Linked DNA regions of Arabidopsis thaliana. The protein of the gene in region 1 interacts with the protein of each later gene in a pairwise test. Each region holds a gene or a part of one and is shown in the gene's direction. Other genes may lie near its edges. The genes, in order: MYB63, ERF14 and AT2G32020.

Evidence for each region.
Region 2: the proteins of MYB63 (region 1) and ERF14 interact in a two-hybrid assay, tested with the Arabidopsis thaliana proteins (one large-scale study listed by BioGRID).
Region 3: the proteins of MYB63 (region 1) and AT2G32020 interact in a two-hybrid assay, tested with the Arabidopsis thaliana proteins (one large-scale study listed by BioGRID).

The regions. Positions count from the first base shown.
Region 1 is NC_003070.9:29,783,646-29,790,558, forward strand, and holds MYB63 (myb domain protein 63), read left to right. Parts: upstream 1-2,849; 5' UTR 2,850-2,863; coding exon 2,864-3,231; intron 3,232-3,328; coding exon 3,329-3,944; 3' UTR 3,945-4,157; downstream 4,158-6,913. Other genes in the region: AT1G79190 (ARM repeat superfamily protein), read left to right, coding at 4,994-5,202, 5,374-5,554, 5,672-5,980, 6,077-6,166, 6,248-6,700, 6,794-6,901.
Region 2 is NC_003070.9:1,169,856-1,176,292, forward strand, and holds ERF14 (Ethylene-responsive element binding factor 14), read left to right. Parts: upstream 1-5,177; 5' UTR 5,178-5,321; coding exon 5,322-5,723; 3' UTR 5,724-5,913; downstream 5,914-6,437.
Region 3 is NC_003071.7:13,628,463-13,635,030, reverse strand, and holds AT2G32020 (Acyl-CoA N-acyltransferases (NAT) superfamily protein), read left to right. Parts: upstream 1-3,101; 5' UTR 3,102-3,286; coding exon 3,287-3,838; 3' UTR 3,839-4,051; downstream 4,052-6,568. Other genes in the region: AT2G32030 (Acyl-CoA N-acyltransferases (NAT) superfamily protein), read left to right, coding at 1,790-2,356.

The DNA.
Region 1 (6,913 bases):
CCCGCATGTTATCGTCCCTTTTAAACTGGTGCATGAGATGTTTATGTACTCCATTTTCGAAAATAAACAACTCTAATATGGAGAGAAATGAGAGGTCTTTATTAAATATCACGTTAACGAGTTGTGTCATGTAATAATTACTGACGGTTACTATATCGAATAATTACCTAATTATCGGGTAATAAATTAAATACCAAAATATTAACCATTATATGGTCCATATACAGTGATCTAGTAGTTGAATAATTGCTTACGTTCAAATCTTAATTATGGTTGACCGTATATAATAATATTTTATATGGTATTCGCATGCTTTGGAGATTAATATAAAGATATTCTGATTACTAAAAAAAAAAACCTAAAATATTAACCAACACATTTCTGTTGAAATAGATCCCATAACAAATACATGTGCGTCATGCATGCGTAATCATTGATTTTATCTGCTTACCTTTTGAGTTTTTTGGGTCATGAATCTCATGATTTATCTATGTTTGAATATTATGGCGTTATTTTATTTAATTTGGAAATGTTAGCACTGTGCTTGGACCTAATGAGTGTGATTAGTTAGGTGATCAGGAAAAAAGTAACCATCACTGTTAAGCAAATGTCCTACCAACCCAACCCAAGGATGGATAATATTGTTTGAGATCTCTATTTTTTTCAAGATTAGGTGTCTTATTTGGTCTCTTGGAAAAATCTTGTTTAGGTGATTATCAGATCATTTTAATTATGATTTAATTGTATTTCCCTTTTAAAACTTACTTACAAAAATCAAAATTACTTGTTTTCGTTAGTATATCTAGTCATGAATTCTAAACTTCTAGCATTTTTGAAAGATTGGACTCTTTTATGGGTAAATCTTTGGCGCATGAGTTGTTTTCTAAATCGAGAATTTGTTTTTATTAGATAAGGTGTTATATCTCCTAAACAATAATACAATAACAAACGCAAAAAGCGAAGCATATTTATGTATATATAGTCTTATATAAATAGTTGATATATATTAATATGTGTCCCTATTATGATCACACAAAACATACACATGCAGAGCTTTATTCCAATAGCTAAAATCTGAACTTTAAAGTCAGTACACTCGAAATTGATATTGACGTATGTATTACTAATAGCAACATGTGTTCTTTCATCATAAGTTTACATAATTTTTTAATTTTATTCTACTTAATTAATGTCACAGTTTCCATCGTTTTGATAAGGTCCATACTCCATAGGGACGTTGAAAATTTAATTTAATTTTTTCCACTCATAGTTGTCCTTTTTTTCTTAGTAAAGTTTGGGAAAGTTTTCCCACTCATACTTGTTTGTTCACCAACCTTCTGATTACCAAGAGTCGTATAAAAATGCAAAACTAATAGATCGTCATTTATATATGTTGCTCCTATAGACTTTTATCGACAAAATTTTCCGAATTAATCATTTTGTAACTTCAATACATATACGTCCAGATATTTACCCTAGTGAAAAATATTTCTTCTTTTTCAAACCTCTTTTCCTCTCTATTCCTCCTAAGAGCTTGTTAACGTAACAAAATTGTTGGGTTTATTAACTTCAATTATTGTCGATACTTAGTACTTTAAAATATTTGGAGTAATAGATGTAGTGATGGCTGTGTCGTAATTGCTTGAATAATTTTGGATGGGTACAGAGGAATTAATTAAGTAATGAAGGTTTGGTGGAATTAAGTAATTAACGTAGCCAAGAGCCAACAACAACACCAAACCCACCAAACATTAAAAAAGTCAAAAAGACGTAAGTCTTTGACCTCTTCCACTCTCTTTGGTCTTTAGTTTGGTGAGTTCGTGCACTATGCTCACACACACTCCTTACGCCTTTTGGTGTTTTCGGATGTGATTAGAAATGACTTTTTAACAGTTTTTTTTTTTTTCTGTCTCTCATTTTAATGTTATATTTAAGGATTATATATATTTCTGCTTTTTTGTATACAAAATATGAAAATATTCCATGGAGTGACGTATGGAGTGACTGCGTACTTAGTAAAACAGCATTATTAGTGAGAGTTCATTTTTCTCGTGTTACACTGTATCTACATGATGATCACGGGACTATCTATTATTCAAAAGTTGGTAATTATACACTGAGCCTGATTACAGAAGACTCGCAGACAAAAACTAATATAATCAATTCCTCCTATGTATACCTTAAGCTAATTCTTAATTAACAAGTTGCAGATTTACAATCTTATTTTAGTCAAAACACTACCTAATATTTTGCCACTTTATAACTATATATTCTTACTCCTCCAAAGTATTTTTATTAAGAAATACATAAAACTCTTATCATTACCGCTGTAAATTCCTAAGACCATTTCAATTAACACTCGTCGACATGTAGTAGTTTCTTACATTAGCGAAATTTATTTCAGACAATTTTATAAGATATGTCAAATCTGATAATATTTTTAACACGAGATGCTAGTTTCCATTATTACTTGATGTCAAAAAAGAAGAAAATATTATTTAAGGATTTTGGTTTCTAAAAACGAATGTGAAATATTCATGCATCGGTGTTAGAAGGAAAGATAAGTTGCATGCATCATAAGGATGCCAAATGAAGTAAAAATGAGAAAATGGAATCATACCAAATAATCAACCATACCACAGACAGACAACCTTTTCCCACTCAACAAATCTGATTTGACATTTATCAATTCCTCTGTTTACATATTCATCTTTTCTCATGTCAAGATCACACACTCTTACCTCTCATATATATAAAACAGAACCAAATTATCTTTGGTAAAAGTGAATCTCATCAGGAACTGAGTGATATAAAGTTATATATATAGAGGAGAGAGGGAGTGAGAGGGAGTGAGAGAGAGAGAATGGGGAAGGGAAGAGCACCTTGTTGTGACAAGACCAAAGTGAAGAGAGGTCCATGGAGCCCAGAAGAAGACATTAAACTCATCTCTTTCATTCAAAAGTTTGGTCATGAGAACTGGAGATCTCTCCCCAAACAATCTGGTATGTCATTGCTTTTGTCATCACAATCAAAGCAAAAGCCTCTTCAATTGTTTTTTCTTTTCTTTATGATTCTGAATGTATATATATGCAAAAATGAAGGGCTATTGAGGTGTGGGAAGAGTTGTCGTCTAAGGTGGATTAACTATCTTAGGCCAGATCTGAAGCGTGGCAACTTCACTTCAGAGGAGGAAGAAACAATCATTAAGCTTCACCACAACTATGGGAACAAGTAAATCATCAGCTAGGATTATTATTGTGCTCATACATATATGGTGGATCAAAAAAGTGATTTGATATTGACATTAAGCTTTCTGCATTTTGATCAGGTGGTCGAAAATCGCTTCTCAACTTCCAGGTAGAACAGATAACGAGATCAAGAATGTGTGGCACACTCATCTAAAGAAAAGACTGGCTCAGAGCTCAGGAACTGCAGATGAACCGGCCTCGCCTTGTTCGAGTGATTCTGTTTCTCGTGGGAAAGATGATAAGTCATCTCACGTAGAAGATTCTTTGAACAGAGAGACTAATCATAGGAATGAGTTGTCTACATCTATGTCTTCTGGGGGTTCCAACCAACAAGATGATCCAAAGATAGACGAACTCAGGTTTGAGTATATAGAAGAAGCTTATAGCGAGTTTAACGACATTATTATTCAAGAGGTAGACAAACCCGATCTGCTGGAGATACCATTTGATTCAGATCCTGACATTTGGAGTTTCTTAGATACTTCAAACTCATTTCAACAATCCACTGCAAATGAGAACAGCTCAGGCTCAAGAGCAACAACAGAAGAAGAGTCTGATGAGGATGAGGTTAAGAAATGGTTCAAGCACCTAGAAAGCGAACTCGGGTTAGAAGAAGACGATAATCAACAACAATACAAAGAAGAAGAATCATCATCATCATCACTCTTGAAGAACTACGAGCTCATGATACATTGATAAAAGATATTTATTTTGGATATCAATATGACAATATGTATGATGGAAAGGTAGAGAGATAGTAGAGAAAATGTATTTCCTATAGTTTTTTAATTGGCATTATTTTTAGTAGCCTGTAGATAAAACAGAGCTGGTCAAAAGATGCACACTATACTAAAAGTCTAAAACTATATATCTGGAAGATTCTTTCTTTAGTCTTAGAGAATCTTGAAGAAAATTATTGAAGAATATTTGGTAGGATTAGTTTAGTAATCTCAATCATCTAACAACCATCTTGAAACTGGAAACGACAAAACATGAAGACCAGTTACTCTTGTTTGGAGATATATTAACCTCAACAGCTATTTTTTTTGCTGAAGAAGAAGTAACAATAACTATGAACTTATCAACGAATTAAGGCAAGCAACTGAATTAGAAGAAGCTAATCTCAACAATGTTGCATCTCCGAATGTTTTCTTGAATTTCATTGGAGATAGACAAAAAGTTGGAAGCTTAATATAGATAGATCTCAGTTTTGTCTTCCATGGCTTCTGATAAATCTTAGTTTTCTTGAAATTGAAGAAATATTATATGATCTTGATAAGAATATATAGGTAACTTGAAGAAGAAATTAACTTCTACTTTCAACTTCTTTATCACTGGTTCAAGTGAAGGAAAATTGAGTCAAATTGGGTTGGGATACCCATTTTAACACTCCGGTTTATAGTTTGAAAGTTTAAACCGATTGGTTTAATTTGATTCGAAAGAATCTGGTTCTTATAACTATTAAATATAATGTCGGTTCATTTGTACGATACTTTACAAAATATGAGGTTTCGTTTGCAATTCTATATAGATTATCAGGTTTATTTTGCATTTATTCCTAAAACCCTAAAGGGGAAATCTTCCCGGTCTTTATTCGAGACGACGACGACCTATAAAGGCCAATAGCAATGGATCGGGTCAATTAATCTCGGGTCGGGTCATTTCTTTTTCAATTTCGCGGTTCTATCTCTCTCTGTTTGCTGACTCGAGATTTTCGAGTTTGGTGGGATAATTGATCGGATTCAATGGACAAGTCCGTCGTAATACGCCGTGAAACCAATGGAGACGACGTTGAGGGAGACCCGGAAAGAGAAGCTGTCTTCGCACAACTGAAAGTTCTCTGCTTGGAGCTTCTAAACCTTTCGCAAAACCCTGAAAAGGATCCAACCACGATCCCTGCTTTGCTCCTTCTCCTCCGCCGTACTCCTCCGTCCTCTCTCCAGTCCTTCTTCCAGTAATTATTCCACTTTTCTCGTTTCTCTTTATCTTTTTACTTCTTTCTGCTGAAAAAACGGTAATCTGCACATGAGTAGCAGTTTCAATTATAAGGTTTAAAAGAGTTCATTTGTGGTGTATTGTCGACTGTTTACTTAGTGAGAACTGTTTTGGTTTATGTACGTTTCAGCTACACTTTGTTCCCATTGCTTCTTCTGTTAGACGCCGCAGTTGCTTGCAGAAGTCAGGGGCAAAACAAGCCAGAGGAATTTCCACAAACACCATATAGAGTGAGTGATAAAGTAGCAGAAGGTGTAATCTCTTGTCTCGAAGAACTTCTAAAAAAATGTCACATTGGATCCATAGATCAGGTGAGCTGGTTTTGAACTCTCACAATCGTTTTTATGATTGTTTTCTACCTTTACTCGATTTGGGTAACATATTCTCAGCTTAGTTATGGAACTGTGTTGAATTTTTTCCCCGTACAGATGGTTGTAATTATGAAGAAGTTAACTAGTGGTGCTGTTTTATCACCATCTGAGGCTTCTGAAGAGTTTCGTGAAGGGATAGTCAAATGTTTCCGAGCAATGATCTCTGGTCTGCTTCCATGCTCTGATGATTCTTGCTCTTGTAAGCGCACTGTTGGCTGGCCTCAGCTGTCAGATAGAAGAGATTATCAAACTCAAGTTTCAGAGTCTTATAAGTATGATTTTGAAACTCGTGAATGCTTGCTTGCATTTCTTCAGTCTCAGTCTGCTTTGGCTGCTGTCGGTCATTGGCTTTCCATTCTTCTCAAAGTAACCCTCTTTTCTCCTATGCTTTCTTTTTTCTTTCATCTGGAGTCATGTAGTTTTATACATTCTAAGGTATTTCAATTCTGATCACTCCACAAGGTCGCTGATGCTGAGGCTTCTCGAGGACATCGAGGAAGTGCAAATCTTCGAGTTGAAGCCTTTATGGCTTTACGGATACTTGTGGCTAAGGTAACTTTTAAATTATGCATATATGGTTTGGACCATTTCTGGCACCCATGGGTCCTAATGAGAACATGTTTCTTGTTGCAGATTGGTACTGCTGATGTGTTGGCGTTTTTTCTACCTGGTGTTGTTAGCCAAGTTTTCAAAGTGTTGCATGTTTCGAGAGCAATGATAAGCGGAGCTGCAGGAAGTGTTGATGCATTGGACCAAGCAATTAGAGGGTTAGCTGAGTTTCTTATGATCGTCCTTGAGGATGAGGCTAATTCATCGGCTCTCGAGATTTCTAATGGTGATACTAAGTCGCAGAAACATGAATCTGCACACTCAATTTTAGACGAACTTCGTTCTCTGACAACAAAATCTCAAGGACAGAGTGACGAGCTGACAGAAATTACAAACCAAGAGATTGTTAACATCAATGTACCTGAAAAATCCAATCTGAATCTGAGTCGTGACTCCTTTCTTGTTGAACGCACGAAGAAATGGTTAGATAGCACTACATCTCACGTAAATAAGCTGCTGTGTGAGACATTTCCTCATGTAAGCTATTTATTCTCGTGCTACGTTCAACACATTTGTCCCAAATCCCTTTGGAATTGTTTTTTCTAAATGGTAATTCTTAATTGGTTTCAGATTCTTATTCACCCAGCCGGCAAAATTCGATGGGGATTTCTAGCAGCAATACGTGGACTGCTCTCTAAGAGCTCTTGCTCGTTGAAGGGTGCTAGATTAGTGATGTTGGTAGGTTCATAA
Region 2 (6,437 bases), about 29 Mb from region 1:
TCAATAATGTATTGTCTTTAGCAAAACAATTGTGACTATTTTTGTTAGTTGTTTGAGTAATTTTGGGTGTACGTATTTGTGTATTATTTATCATCAAAGTGTATATAATCGAATTTTAGATGGACTTATGTTCTATAATACGTTAGAGGATGTATAAATACACATCTTTAACACAAAAAGATATATAAATACACATCGACTTATGGCGTTCTTAGTTTTGTCCTAACATAATAAAAACGAAAACGTGCCCACGACGGAGACAACCCTTAGTGGAAAGTAATTTGTTGTTTTTGCATTATTTTTATTTTTATCCAAACAACTAATATTCATAAGTGGCTCCCGATGAAAATCCGTAATCACGATTGTCAAAAGAAAAAAAAAATATAGTGGGAGAAATCACAAATCGACAAAATTAGATTCAGATCCATGTTTACAAATTTTTTTAATTTTTTTTTTTGTTGAAGTGTTGCATCAGTTAAACCTAAAAATCGACAAAATCACAATTGATGCTTCGGCAGTAATTACAAATAAACAAATACTACAACCAGGGCAGAGCAGCAGAAGAATATTTCATATAGAACTTAGTGACATTGTATTACTTAAATTTAAACTTTCTTAAATCACCATTAAAAACAGTTGATTCATGAAACTTGTGAAAAACAACTCATCAGTAGTTTTCACATGGACTGACAACAGCTGTGAAAGCTTTTGGTTCAATTTTGGGAGGATTTTACTAGAATCCAATTATTTGTACAATTCAAAACTAATATGAAAAAAGAAATCTAGGCATCTCATTAATATAGTAGAATTTTGTTTCCGCATTAACAATTGACTTTGACTATAGACTACTCTTTTAAGAATGAGGTCCTGAGGATCATCATCATGCGCCACGTCGACGACTCAGGTCAACACAGCAACGGTGAGATGGATCAGCATTCAGCAGCACGTGATGCTTGGTCGGTCACGTGTGTGCGTCAGACCATCATCGATACACGTCGCTCCGAGATATGAACTCGATCTCTATAATTTTCTTTGTTTTGTTTTGATGTTCGAGATTCTATTAGTTGCATTGATCAGGATCGTCTTCTAGCCCTACGCTACACTATAAAAACATACTTAACTGGAAATAAATTACTAGAAATTCCAAAACTTATGCATTGATCCGATGGTTTTTGGTTTGGCTAAATACAAGAGATTAATATCTAACTGAGTGTTACTGTATATAATAATGTAGATCTCATAACAAGAAATTGTAAATAAATTTCAAAAGAAAATTAATTGGCTTTTAAATTTTATTATCTCAAACTAAAGGTTGACTTTTACTTTACCATTTAAAGAAACCAATCTGGGGTCAACGTTTTGAACCATTGATATGTGTGCGAGTCAAAACATCCTATAATTTAATGAGACACAATTTACAAAAAACAATTTTTTTAACTTAAATTATCTAGTTAATTAATTTCTTAAATTTTAATCAATTTTTGGTTTTATGTGTATGTCTAAGAAATAACTATGTAATCTCTGTTTTCATTTTAATAAAATAAAGCAAGATGTTACAAAAATAAAATTAATTTCTTTAGTGTAAAATTGAATAATGTGATGTAATTTGTTCTATCGTCTGTTCTGTTTCCATAATTTTTTTTATTTTTTTTGAACAACCATAAATAAATGCTGATGACAACAAAAAAAAAAGATAAAAAAATGCTTTACCAGAAAAGAGAACTGTAAAAAAAAATGCTTTCACTTGTTTCACTTTCTCTTTCTCCATTCGTTGACAGGAAAAAAAACAATTATGTTTCGCCATTCTTCCATTAGTTTTTCTAGACCCATTTTGGGCAGCTGCGTGGACCATATGTGGGTCACGAGTGAACTTGGGCTGGGCCATCATATATTCAGTGTGCAAAGATTATGTCAATCTATTAAAATGAAAATAAACTGTGTCAATTTTAAAATATATTTAAAATGAAACTAGTGTATGTCATCTTGAAAATAATAATGTGTAGCATTAATATTAACCATACATAATATTGTATGAATATCTTTGAGTTCATTAAAGTTATTTTTGTTCTCAAATTAAAAGAATGAAAGTTAAAAGGTACTTAAACTATAAATTTCTTATTTATAGTGCTAATTATAAAAATATAGTTAATAAATTCTGTTCCATTGGAACTCCGCTGTAATTGATCGAAGATTATCCAAAAAATTGGTCAACGTATTATCGATTTTGGTAAAAGAAATAGATTAACCCATAAATCCTTGATATTCTATAACCTTTAGTTAAAAGCTTCATCTATATGTTAGGGTTCTTGTTCTGAAATAAACCTTTTACTATAGATTCTATGTTATTCAATTGGTAGGTTCATGCACGAAGACATAAAAAGACTTTAGTTCTAGCTATATGTTGTCCCCAACCTCGAGAGCCCTTACTTACACTAGTCGTAATGGCGACAACAATATAGATTCTGATTCTATATCAATCGAAACCACACAATCTTCTTTTTCCCAGAGATTATTAATTTACAATAGAATAGACGTTAATTCCAATCTTCTTAAATTTAATTCTTTTTATTGTTGAATAAACGTAGATTCATCTCTCCTTTCAATTCAAGAAAGACGTCGGAAATGTATATTGAAGATAAGAAAAAAAATGAACAATTGAATAATAATAATTATTTTCAATCAGGCTCTATTTTAAATTTCTTTTTCAAATATAAAAGAATCCTTAGATTTGTTTTTTGTTTTTTGGAACAAGGAAGTTTTGAAGTACAGTAGGTTTTCGATGATATTTGTTACCGTCTACCGAGAATTTTCAACAAAATCAGTTTTCAGTTGTTGTTTTTTTGTCGCCCAGTTTTCGGTTGTTTTGGTTTGTTTGTTCATAGACTCGGTTTATCCAAAATAAAACATTAATGCGACAGTATTTTATTTTTTGGTCGCATTTATGCGACAGTTTAAGCATTTTTAAAAAAAATATACAGGCACTACAACAATTGTCATAACTTACCAAAAAAATATTTGTCGTGGACCGATTCAAAGTCAAAGGCAAGTCAGATTTAAACGACATAATAAAATCGTAATCATTATTTTAATGTGATTGAAAGGGAAAGGAACTCAGATATGATAGAAGAACAAAGAAGGAAAGGGAACTCCAAAACTTTGTTTTCTAGTCTAAAAAAAAAGACTTCGAATATGTACGGACACCTATAAGATCGAATCCAATATTAGGAGCAGCCAAAAAGGGCCAATTAGTGTATTTTAAAATATATATTTTTAAAAAGGTAACAAAAAGAAAACTTGAAGAAGTAGGTACATTGTGACCATGATGATGAATTTATGATCAACTAGGTACATTGGACATGTCGTTATCCTTATTTCAACTGACTTAACGTTAATGACTTATTAGAAAAGCCCACGTGACGATTAGGCTAATAGGTTTATAAAAGTCAATTTCGACAGAGTATAGTGTCAGTAAAATATCTGAGATTTACGGGTGAAAGATACTATTTATGGAATGTTCACTTATACGAAGTCCTTCCGTATAAGTTTCTTATTGACTGTGACATCTATTGTTATATTTATGGAACTTTAGCGATTAATTTTGTGGACCTAGCTAACTAAAGAAAGTTATATTTGTTGGCTCAACGAAGTCGTATATTTAAGTTAAAAGATTCAGATTCTAGAGTATGTAAGGTATTATAGGCTGTTGATTCTTGTTTTTCAGTTAACAACTATATACTGTAGTGTGTATAAGGCAATTACAAATTACTTGATTCTAAGCTGACTACTTTTTTTGGTTTTGTATATTTTAGAGGACTAAATGGTGTGATTATATTTAATGAAAATATGATATCTTATTAATGCTTTTAAATACAAACAAAAATGTAGATTATCGTACATGGGAAGCGTGATTTCCAAAGCATAAAATCAAATTGCGAATACCTTTTGTATTTGCGTTCACAACTTACAAACATTTCTTACTAATATAAAAACTTTTATTTGTTCAATGCATATACAAAGTTACAAACGCAACCAACATTTGATTCGATCAAATTTCTAGAGATTTCAGGTACCGTACGTTGGCAAAGATGGAGAAAGTAGTTCAAATGTCATAAAAAATTTTAGCGATTAATATTTAGCTCAATTTTTTATACGACATTTTGAAAAACAAAATCTTATATTTTCTTTTAAGGTAGAATAAGTAATGAATTTCCAGCTTTATGTAGAATATATGCATAATTTGAAAACAATTCAAGGCCGATTCAATGTACTTAGTAAACGTTTTTGTTCTTCTTCGTTAGTGGTATGTTCGTAAACTTGATGTTAAGAAAAGTTAATTGATCTAATCTACTGCAAATTATTCAATAAAAATTAATTGATGTGAAAATATATCTAGAAGGAAAAAATTCTCCAAAATGTAAAGTCATGTCAAGAACTTAGACCCCCACACGTAGATTCTGTATTAAACAAAAAATTTATTATGGTCCAACGAAAGCTTCTGAGTCGGTTTTGAGAGTCAACCCACGTGGGCACTAACGAAGTCCCAAGTCAAACATATTCCTATGGGTCCTCCAATCAACTCTTTTATTCAGTACACATCATATTTTTGGTAACATAAAATTCCATTGCTGTTGCCAAAAAATACCATACAAATATAGTTTTCTATAATAATTAGTTCAAGAGACTGTCTAATTTTATCATAAATTTCCTACTTTTTGCAAAAGTTCAACTTGAGTTAAACCTTATAAGCTCTATTTAGATATAAATATTTAATAATTTAGATATAATGTAAAATATAAACGCAAAATATAATAATTTCAAGGATATAACAAAAAATTGTTTTATATTTTTGTTGCACATGATTCTTACCATATTATTAATGTTGTACATTTCCGAAACCCCATACATGTATATTATTATAGCCATAAAAAATTGTACATATATGTAAAATACAAAATTCTCAAAATAAAATCTATTATAAAAAAATGAAAAAAGAAAAAGAAAAAGAAAATTTATTTTATGAGAAACATCTATGTTGAAGGAGAAAAAAGGTCTAAAGAACATCTACATAATTTTCATAAGTGGAGTTTTTCGAACTTCGAATATTAGGTTGATGGACCCACTTGTTTCCTTGCCTATAAATTCCACAAATCAAATCTCATTTAATCCATGCAAAATTAAAACACACACAAAGACAAAAAAAAAAAAACAGACGCTACATCTTGTGTCCGTTTCCAACTCTTAGAACATCCAATTCTTCTTATTATTCTTTGTCACTTGGTCTCTCTTCTGACGCACAACAGTATATACACATACACAGATATATGGATCAAGGAGGTCGTAGCAGTGGTAGTGGAGGAGGAGGAGCCGAGCAAGGGAAGTACCGTGGAGTAAGGAGACGACCTTGGGGTAAATACGCCGCGGAAATAAGAGATTCGAGGAAGCACGGAGAGCGTGTGTGGCTAGGGACATTCGACACTGCGGAAGACGCGGCTCGAGCCTATGACCGAGCCGCCTATTCAATGAGAGGCAAAGCTGCCATTCTCAACTTCCCTCACGAGTATAACATGGGAACCGGATCCTCATCCACTGCGGCTAATTCTTCTTCCTCGTCGCAGCAAGTTTTTGAGTTTGAGTACTTGGACGATAGCGTTTTGGATGAACTTCTTGAATATGGAGAGAACTATAACAAGACTCATAATATCAACATGGGCAAGAGGCAATAAAGGGAATACAATCGGTATTAACTGAAAGTTATGTGAAAGACCATTTTCAGTTATAACAAATAAAATAAAATCCCAAGCGTACAAAGCTGTTTCAATTATTGGCATGAAGTGTAATTGTCAATCGATTTCTGTAACGAATAAGATTCTTTAAGCGGGTCATCTTAGTTTCTTGAACTTCAAAGTTCAAACGGTTCCTTGTGCAATTAGTTTTGAGAAAATATTAATGAAAATAATGATTATGTGAAACATATTCTTTTATGTTTTGTGACGTGTAATTATGATTTGATATATTTGTTACCTTCTTGTGATTCATCTAAACGAGCTTAAACGTTTTAAAATAAATCAAAGTAAATTTATAAGATATCAATATAACCTATTACATCGCTCTAATTAATATAACTACCAGCATGTACAAGTACATTGTGTTATACGTTTGAAATATGGAATTCATCTTACCATTGCTTGTTATTGCTCTTCCATTCATGAATTATACTGGAAAGGCATATGTAGACGCATATATACATGTACATTTTGAAAATAGTTTTTATAAGCAACTGATGAGTTTAGTAACTTGTGGGGACAATAATTCATTGAGTTGATAGATGAGTTTTTAAAGACAAAATATAAATACGTGGAGAAAGAAAATCACCCACACCACACGGCCATGAAGATGAGATGAGAGACTTCGGCGTTAATTCCATGCTTCTATCAGGA
Region 3 (6,568 bases), on another chromosome or scaffold:
CTTCGTCTTTTTTTTCGATTGATAAATTAATTTTTGATTTTTCTCATGAACTATATTAGCAGCTTATTAAATTTTTATTGACAAAATATGTATTGAACCTTATATTTTAAATAATTTTGAGTTTTAATGTCTTTTTATGTGATTTATTGTAAAAAAAAAAAATCAAATTCCAGTAAAAATATGAGATTTGAATTTTTATATATGTAACTAAATAAATCTTTTTAAATTTTCTCAAATCCTTTAAAATTAATAAAGAGGTGTATTAGATCTAAGTGTGTCAAAATGGGTAACACAACTCAACTCAACTCATAATCAAATGAGTTTAGGGTTAAATGAGTTATGGGTTGATCCAACTCATTTTGTTAAATGGGTTAAGTCAACCCATAACTCATTTAATTTAATGGGTTGAGTTGTTAAATGGGTTAACCCATTTAAGTAATAATTTAATTAATTATTATTATAAAATAATAATAAATAATTATCATTATTAATTCATTATCATCAAAACTTAATATATTTACGGATTCCACTTTTTACGGGTTTACGTTTTTGGCGGGAAAATCTCGGGTTTACGTTTTTGGCGGGAAAATCATGGATTTACGTTTTTGGCGGGAAAATCACGGATTTACGTTTTTGGCGGAAAAATTACGGGTTTACTTTTTCTCAATTTCATCGCTTGTATATTTAAGAAATTTGGAAAAATATTAATTTTATTAAATTGGTTTAGATGTGTTGGTTAGACTTAAATTGGCATTGGTTTAGAGATTTTAGTTGGTTTAATTCAATTTTACAAAATTTGATGGGTTAATTGGATAAACCATTGAAACCATTAACCATTACAACCCAACTCATTTTACTCATCAAACCAATTGACTCATCAACTCATTTGACTCATCAACTCATTTGAGTCAAAATTTTCAACTCATTAGGGTTCATGGATTGAGTTGAGTTGAGTTGAGTTGACTCATTAATTTGGACCTTACAATTTGAGTTTTAGCTAGTTTTTATATGAGTTTGATGATTTTAGGAAAATTGATGTGATTTATTATAAAATATTTTAAAATTCTATATAAGACCATGAATTTCGATTTTGTTATTTTTAACTAAAGAACTTTCTCAAATCCTTCAAAATTAATAAGAATCAAATCTACCAATTATTTTCAATAACAATAGATTTTAAGATAGAATTTTAAATCTTTAGTTCAATAATACTAGATTTCATTAAAGTTTTTCAAATCCATAATCGAACAACATAGAATTTATAAATTTTACACAAATCACTTAAAATATTAGATTGAATACATTCTTATAAAAATCAAATCCATAAATTATTTTTAATAACAGTGAATTTAAAGGTAGATTTTTAAATTATTATTTTAATAACACTAGATTTCATTAGAATTTTCAAAATCCATAATTAAATAACATATACTTGTAAAATTTACGAAAGTCACTTTAAATACTAGATTGAATATACCTCTTTTAAATCAAAAACGATGAATGGATGGTAAATATACGGTTCACCCATACCCATTATAAACCGTCTTTTTCACACCTTCCATTCAACAAGAACTAATTGTTGCGTATTTGACCGATCGAAGCAAGAAGGAACGTTCTGTTTATTTTCTTTTTTGTTAAAAAAAAATCAGTATTTAAATCGTGATTTGTAGAAGAAGTATTATCATAATGCCTCTACACAAATCTGTAAGAATTGAGAGAGATAATTTATTTTAAAGAATCCCAAAGAAGCTTCAAAGACTCAAAAAGGAAAGTAACCAAGAAAAAGTCAATGGAGATGGACTCAACTACTACGATCAAACCGGAGACCCTATCCACCGTGAGTTCCTCACCTCCGGAGAAAATCCATCTCCGGCCAATGACTCTTTCCGACGTCGACGATTTCATGGTTTGGGCCACTGACTCAAACGTCACACGCTTTTGCACGTGGGAGCCTTACACTAGCCGAGAAGCCGCGATCGCGTACTTAAACGACGCTCTTTTGCCACACCCTTGGCTTAGAGCTATATGCTTAGATAACGACCGTCCGATTGGCTCGATCTCCGTAACGCCAGTCGATGAGATCAGAGGAGAGATTGGTTATGTCCTCGGAAGCAAGTATTGGGGGAAAGGGATCGCCACTGAAGCGGTGAGGCTTGTGGCGGGGGAGATATTCAAGGAGAAGCCAGAGATGCAGAGGCTTGAGGCACTTGTTGACGTTGACAATGTTGGATCTCAAAAGGTTCTTGAAAAAGTTGGGTTTGTGAAAGAAGGTGTGATGAGGAAATTTATGTATCTTAAAGGAAATGTTAGAGATATGGTCATGTTTAGTTTCTTGCCTTCTGATTCGTTGCACTGATCTGATTTGAATTAACAAATATCAAATATATATATTAAGTTTGTTTGATGTCGAAATTTATATTTTGCTTAGTTTGTAAAAATCACATGTATAATTTGATGTGATGCTCTATCTTTCTTCTTCTTATGTAATTGTTAGTTGTAACCTTATATATTAACTATTTCATACAAAAGTTATTTTTTATAATTTGAGAGTAATGTATTTACTATTTACCATGTTCACTTCACCAAATAAAACAAAGCTTCACTATCTCAGAAAAAATGTAAGTTTATATTGAAAATTAAAAGTACAAAATGAAACATGATATATATATATATATTTTCTTTTTGAATCTAAACATGAAATATTTTATACAATAAAAAGATAGTGTGATAGCTAGTTTTACAGCGATAGATGAATGGAATTCTGATAACATTCGATTAATTAATCTTTAGCTAAATTACTTAATCATACAACATGTTGAGTGACTTGATTCTTGAGTTGATTTTGACAGTATATAACAAACGATTACGATCATTTGCACCACAAATATTAACAGTATTAAAATATTTAATCCATTTAGAATAACTTGAGAAACAGTTAAATCCTTTTTGGGAATCAGACCACACACGATTTGACACGTGGCATTGTGGGCATCCAACTGGAAGCAACACATTAAGTTCCGAAACCAGAACAATACTTTGTTTGGCAACCAAGTAAGTGTCGAAAGTCCAAGGTCAAATATAGACAATTATCCACTCACACGATGACACCTCATCTTATGTCGTATATTTAACACTAAATACACTTATCTATAGCAAATGGTAATATTTAGTGTTTTTTTAGTCAAAAGCAATAAGGGAGAATCTCAAAGTTTTTCAAGATCGCGATGTGTATAAAGACATCGCTTAGACGTAGTGATATGATATCTAAAACAATCACTAATCCTAAATGGAGATGGACTCAGAAGAAACTAATCCAATAATGAGCTCTTCGCCTCCGGGAAGAATATCTCTCCGGCCGATGACTCTTTCCGACGTCGATGACTACATGGTTTGGGCCACAGATCCTAAAGTGGCTCGATTTTGCACTTGGGAGCCTTGCACGAGCCGAGACGAAGCTATCAAATACATAACCGATCGTGTCCTGACACACCCTTGGCTCCGAGCCATCTGCTTAGAAGACGACCGTCCAATCGGCTACATCTTGATCATGGCGGTTGATAACATCAGAAAAGAGATTGGTTATGTCCTAGCGAGAAAGTATTGGGGAAAAGGGTTTGCCACGGAAGCAGTGAGGCTAGTGACCGCGGAGGTATTCGAGGAATTTCCAGAGATTGAAAGGCTTGAGGCACTTGTTGATGTGGACAATGTTGGATCTCAAAGGGTTCTTGAAAAAGTTGGGTTTACTAGAGAAGGTGTGATGAGGAAGTTTATATGTATCAAGGGAAGTGTAAGAGACACTGTTATGTTTAGTTTCTTGTCTACTGATACTTTGAAGTAATTAATCAACAAAAAGATTAATTAGCAATTCTACATATATATGTTGGATTTAGTGTATGATTCATATACGTAATACATGATGTAAACACTCTGTTTTTCATTTGCCAAAAAAATCTATAAATCCTACATTGTAAATTACGAAACAATTAAAGTCAGTGCATGAGACAGAAGTGAGGTTAGAGGGATCATCCGATTACAAATTGATAGGTAGAGAAGAGTTTTAAAAATCAAAGGTTAATAGAAGCGTATAAACGAATAATGTAGAATGTAAATAAAACAATGGGATTCGTCCTGTATCCATAAAAAGGTTCACATACTCATCCAACAAGCAAAAGAAAAAAAAAGCAAAACATCCCATGGTCCTTGGGATGAGAACTTAAGAGCCAGACCAGCTTTGTTAAAATAACACAGGATATTAAAAGTATTTGTAAAATTTGAATTATGAATTTATGTAATTCAACAAATTTACTATAAGTAGTACGTAATTAATTTATTATGATTTCTCCATATTTCTTAAATTAAAGTAAACAATCTTTAGATTCCCCTGAGTTTCTTCTTCTTGTTGGAAAAATGAAGTTTACTCGTGCGTAATTCGTTAAGAGAGAAGCCCATGTGGCCCAAATTTAGGGCCCGTGTAGTGGAGGTTTCGTTATAAAGAATCTAGTGAGAAGTGAAGTGAGCAATTTCTTTTCTTTTTTTTTTGTTATGAAGAAAATAATCTGGAAATAAGAAATTACAAGAAAAAATGGATTTTTTTGGGTAAAAAAAAGAAGAAGAAATCAATCATCACTGTGCTTGTGTGAGGCTAATTTCGTTTCCCACTTTCAAAGGACTAAATATATTACTAATACAATTTATTTTAACTTCTGTGGTAGAACTAAAATATATTTGGCCTATAGATACACATGCATATCAAAAAAAGTTATTTTTAGGTTATGTGAATAAAGACTCCACTCCGTTCAATATGTCTGACCAGTCAGTCCATATAGGATATACGCATATAGTATGAAACAATTTATTAGTATTTGAAATCACTATGTAAGTATGTGATATTTTCTGTTAACCAACAAAAAAATTAGATTCATTTACTAACTAGCTCACTAAACATATGTTTTTAGGAATTAAAAATAATCTTAGCTCCAAAATTCGATAAGACTATATAGATATTTTACCTTTAAATAGGTACAAATTTGGAATGAACCGCAACATTTATCGAATTAGATAAAATATCAGAATGTCCACTCCTGTAAATCATAGCTGATGGACTTTAATTTTAATAGGATTGGAGTAATAGTTAAAGGTATTTAAGTAAATCATTTCGATATACACTTCTTGTTCTGGACCACATATTCCATTCCATTTTTATTTATTTGTTAATGTTAGGTAAAAATAGGGGTTTTCATGAAAAAAAAAATAGAGCTGATCATTGTCTCACTTCACATTGTACAAGAATGTTTTTATTTTATTTTTAATTTGGGTTTAAAATAAATAACCCAAAAAAAAAGGGAATTTAGAAGTGTTGTTGTAATCACGAAAGCTGAAACAAGAGAAAGCATGAGCAAATAGGAAAAAGAGAAAAGCATGAGATTACACAATACACTCTCTGCACTTTCATACTCTTTTTCAATCATTTCATTCTACATTCACATCTTTACACTATTCTCTCTCTTACCTTTAATATTTCAAAACATAATATACAAATTTCATCTGATTAAATTACAGCTTATATACTCAAACTAATGATTGAAAATTATTAAACCTTTTGCACGCAGTGCTACAAAAAATAATGCAAAGGTATTTGAATGTTGATATTTTGACTAATTGCTTACAATTATAACTCTTTATGAGATTGCAGAAAAAATAAAACTAATCATTGAATTTCTGTATTCCAATACATAGAATCAGAGAATGAGTGAGCTTCGAGGTTATCAAGAAGCCCTAACTTTTTCAGTACAAAGATCATCACAAGACGTTATCTTTTTATTCTTTTCACTTTTCCTTTGTAAGAAAACTATCATAATGAATGAAATAATTGCTTTTGCTGTATAGTATTTTTGTTACACTTATTAAACGGCTAAATCTTACTTATACAACAAGCATTACACTATCATTGTCTCGGGAACACACTTCAATTTACAATAATAATATTATCAAAAACTATCCCTAAAAAGACTGATGAAGAACTAAAAAAAACCTTCCATCTGTCAGTTTAATAATCCTGCACAAAAACAAGTTTTATTAAACTGTTGTTACCTTATGAGTAGAATCAAACTGAATTAAATTGTGATTACAAATTAATTATTACCTACACTGTAAAATTTACTTTTAACTCCTACTCCTGACATGATAAATGAAAGAACCGGTTTGATATGCGAAATTCTATTAACCAAGACAAAATTACAATCCTTTATACACCTGTAAACCGGAAATTCAACCGTTAAAATCAATCGAAACCGAACCGGAAACAGACATAGGAAGAGAAGTTGGACCAACCTGTTATTTGTTTCCTTTGTGTTAAAAGGAGCAATGAAATGTCTCCATCATCCACTCCTCAAGGCTTCAACATTCGAACAAAAAAAACTTTAATTGACCTGACAAAAGCCGAAACAAATTATATACCATAAGTGATATTAATATGATGAAGAATCATATACAATTATAACTCTTTATGAGATTTCAGAAAAAAAAGATCACACAACAAATCTTGGTGTCAAGAAATCTTCCATCATTA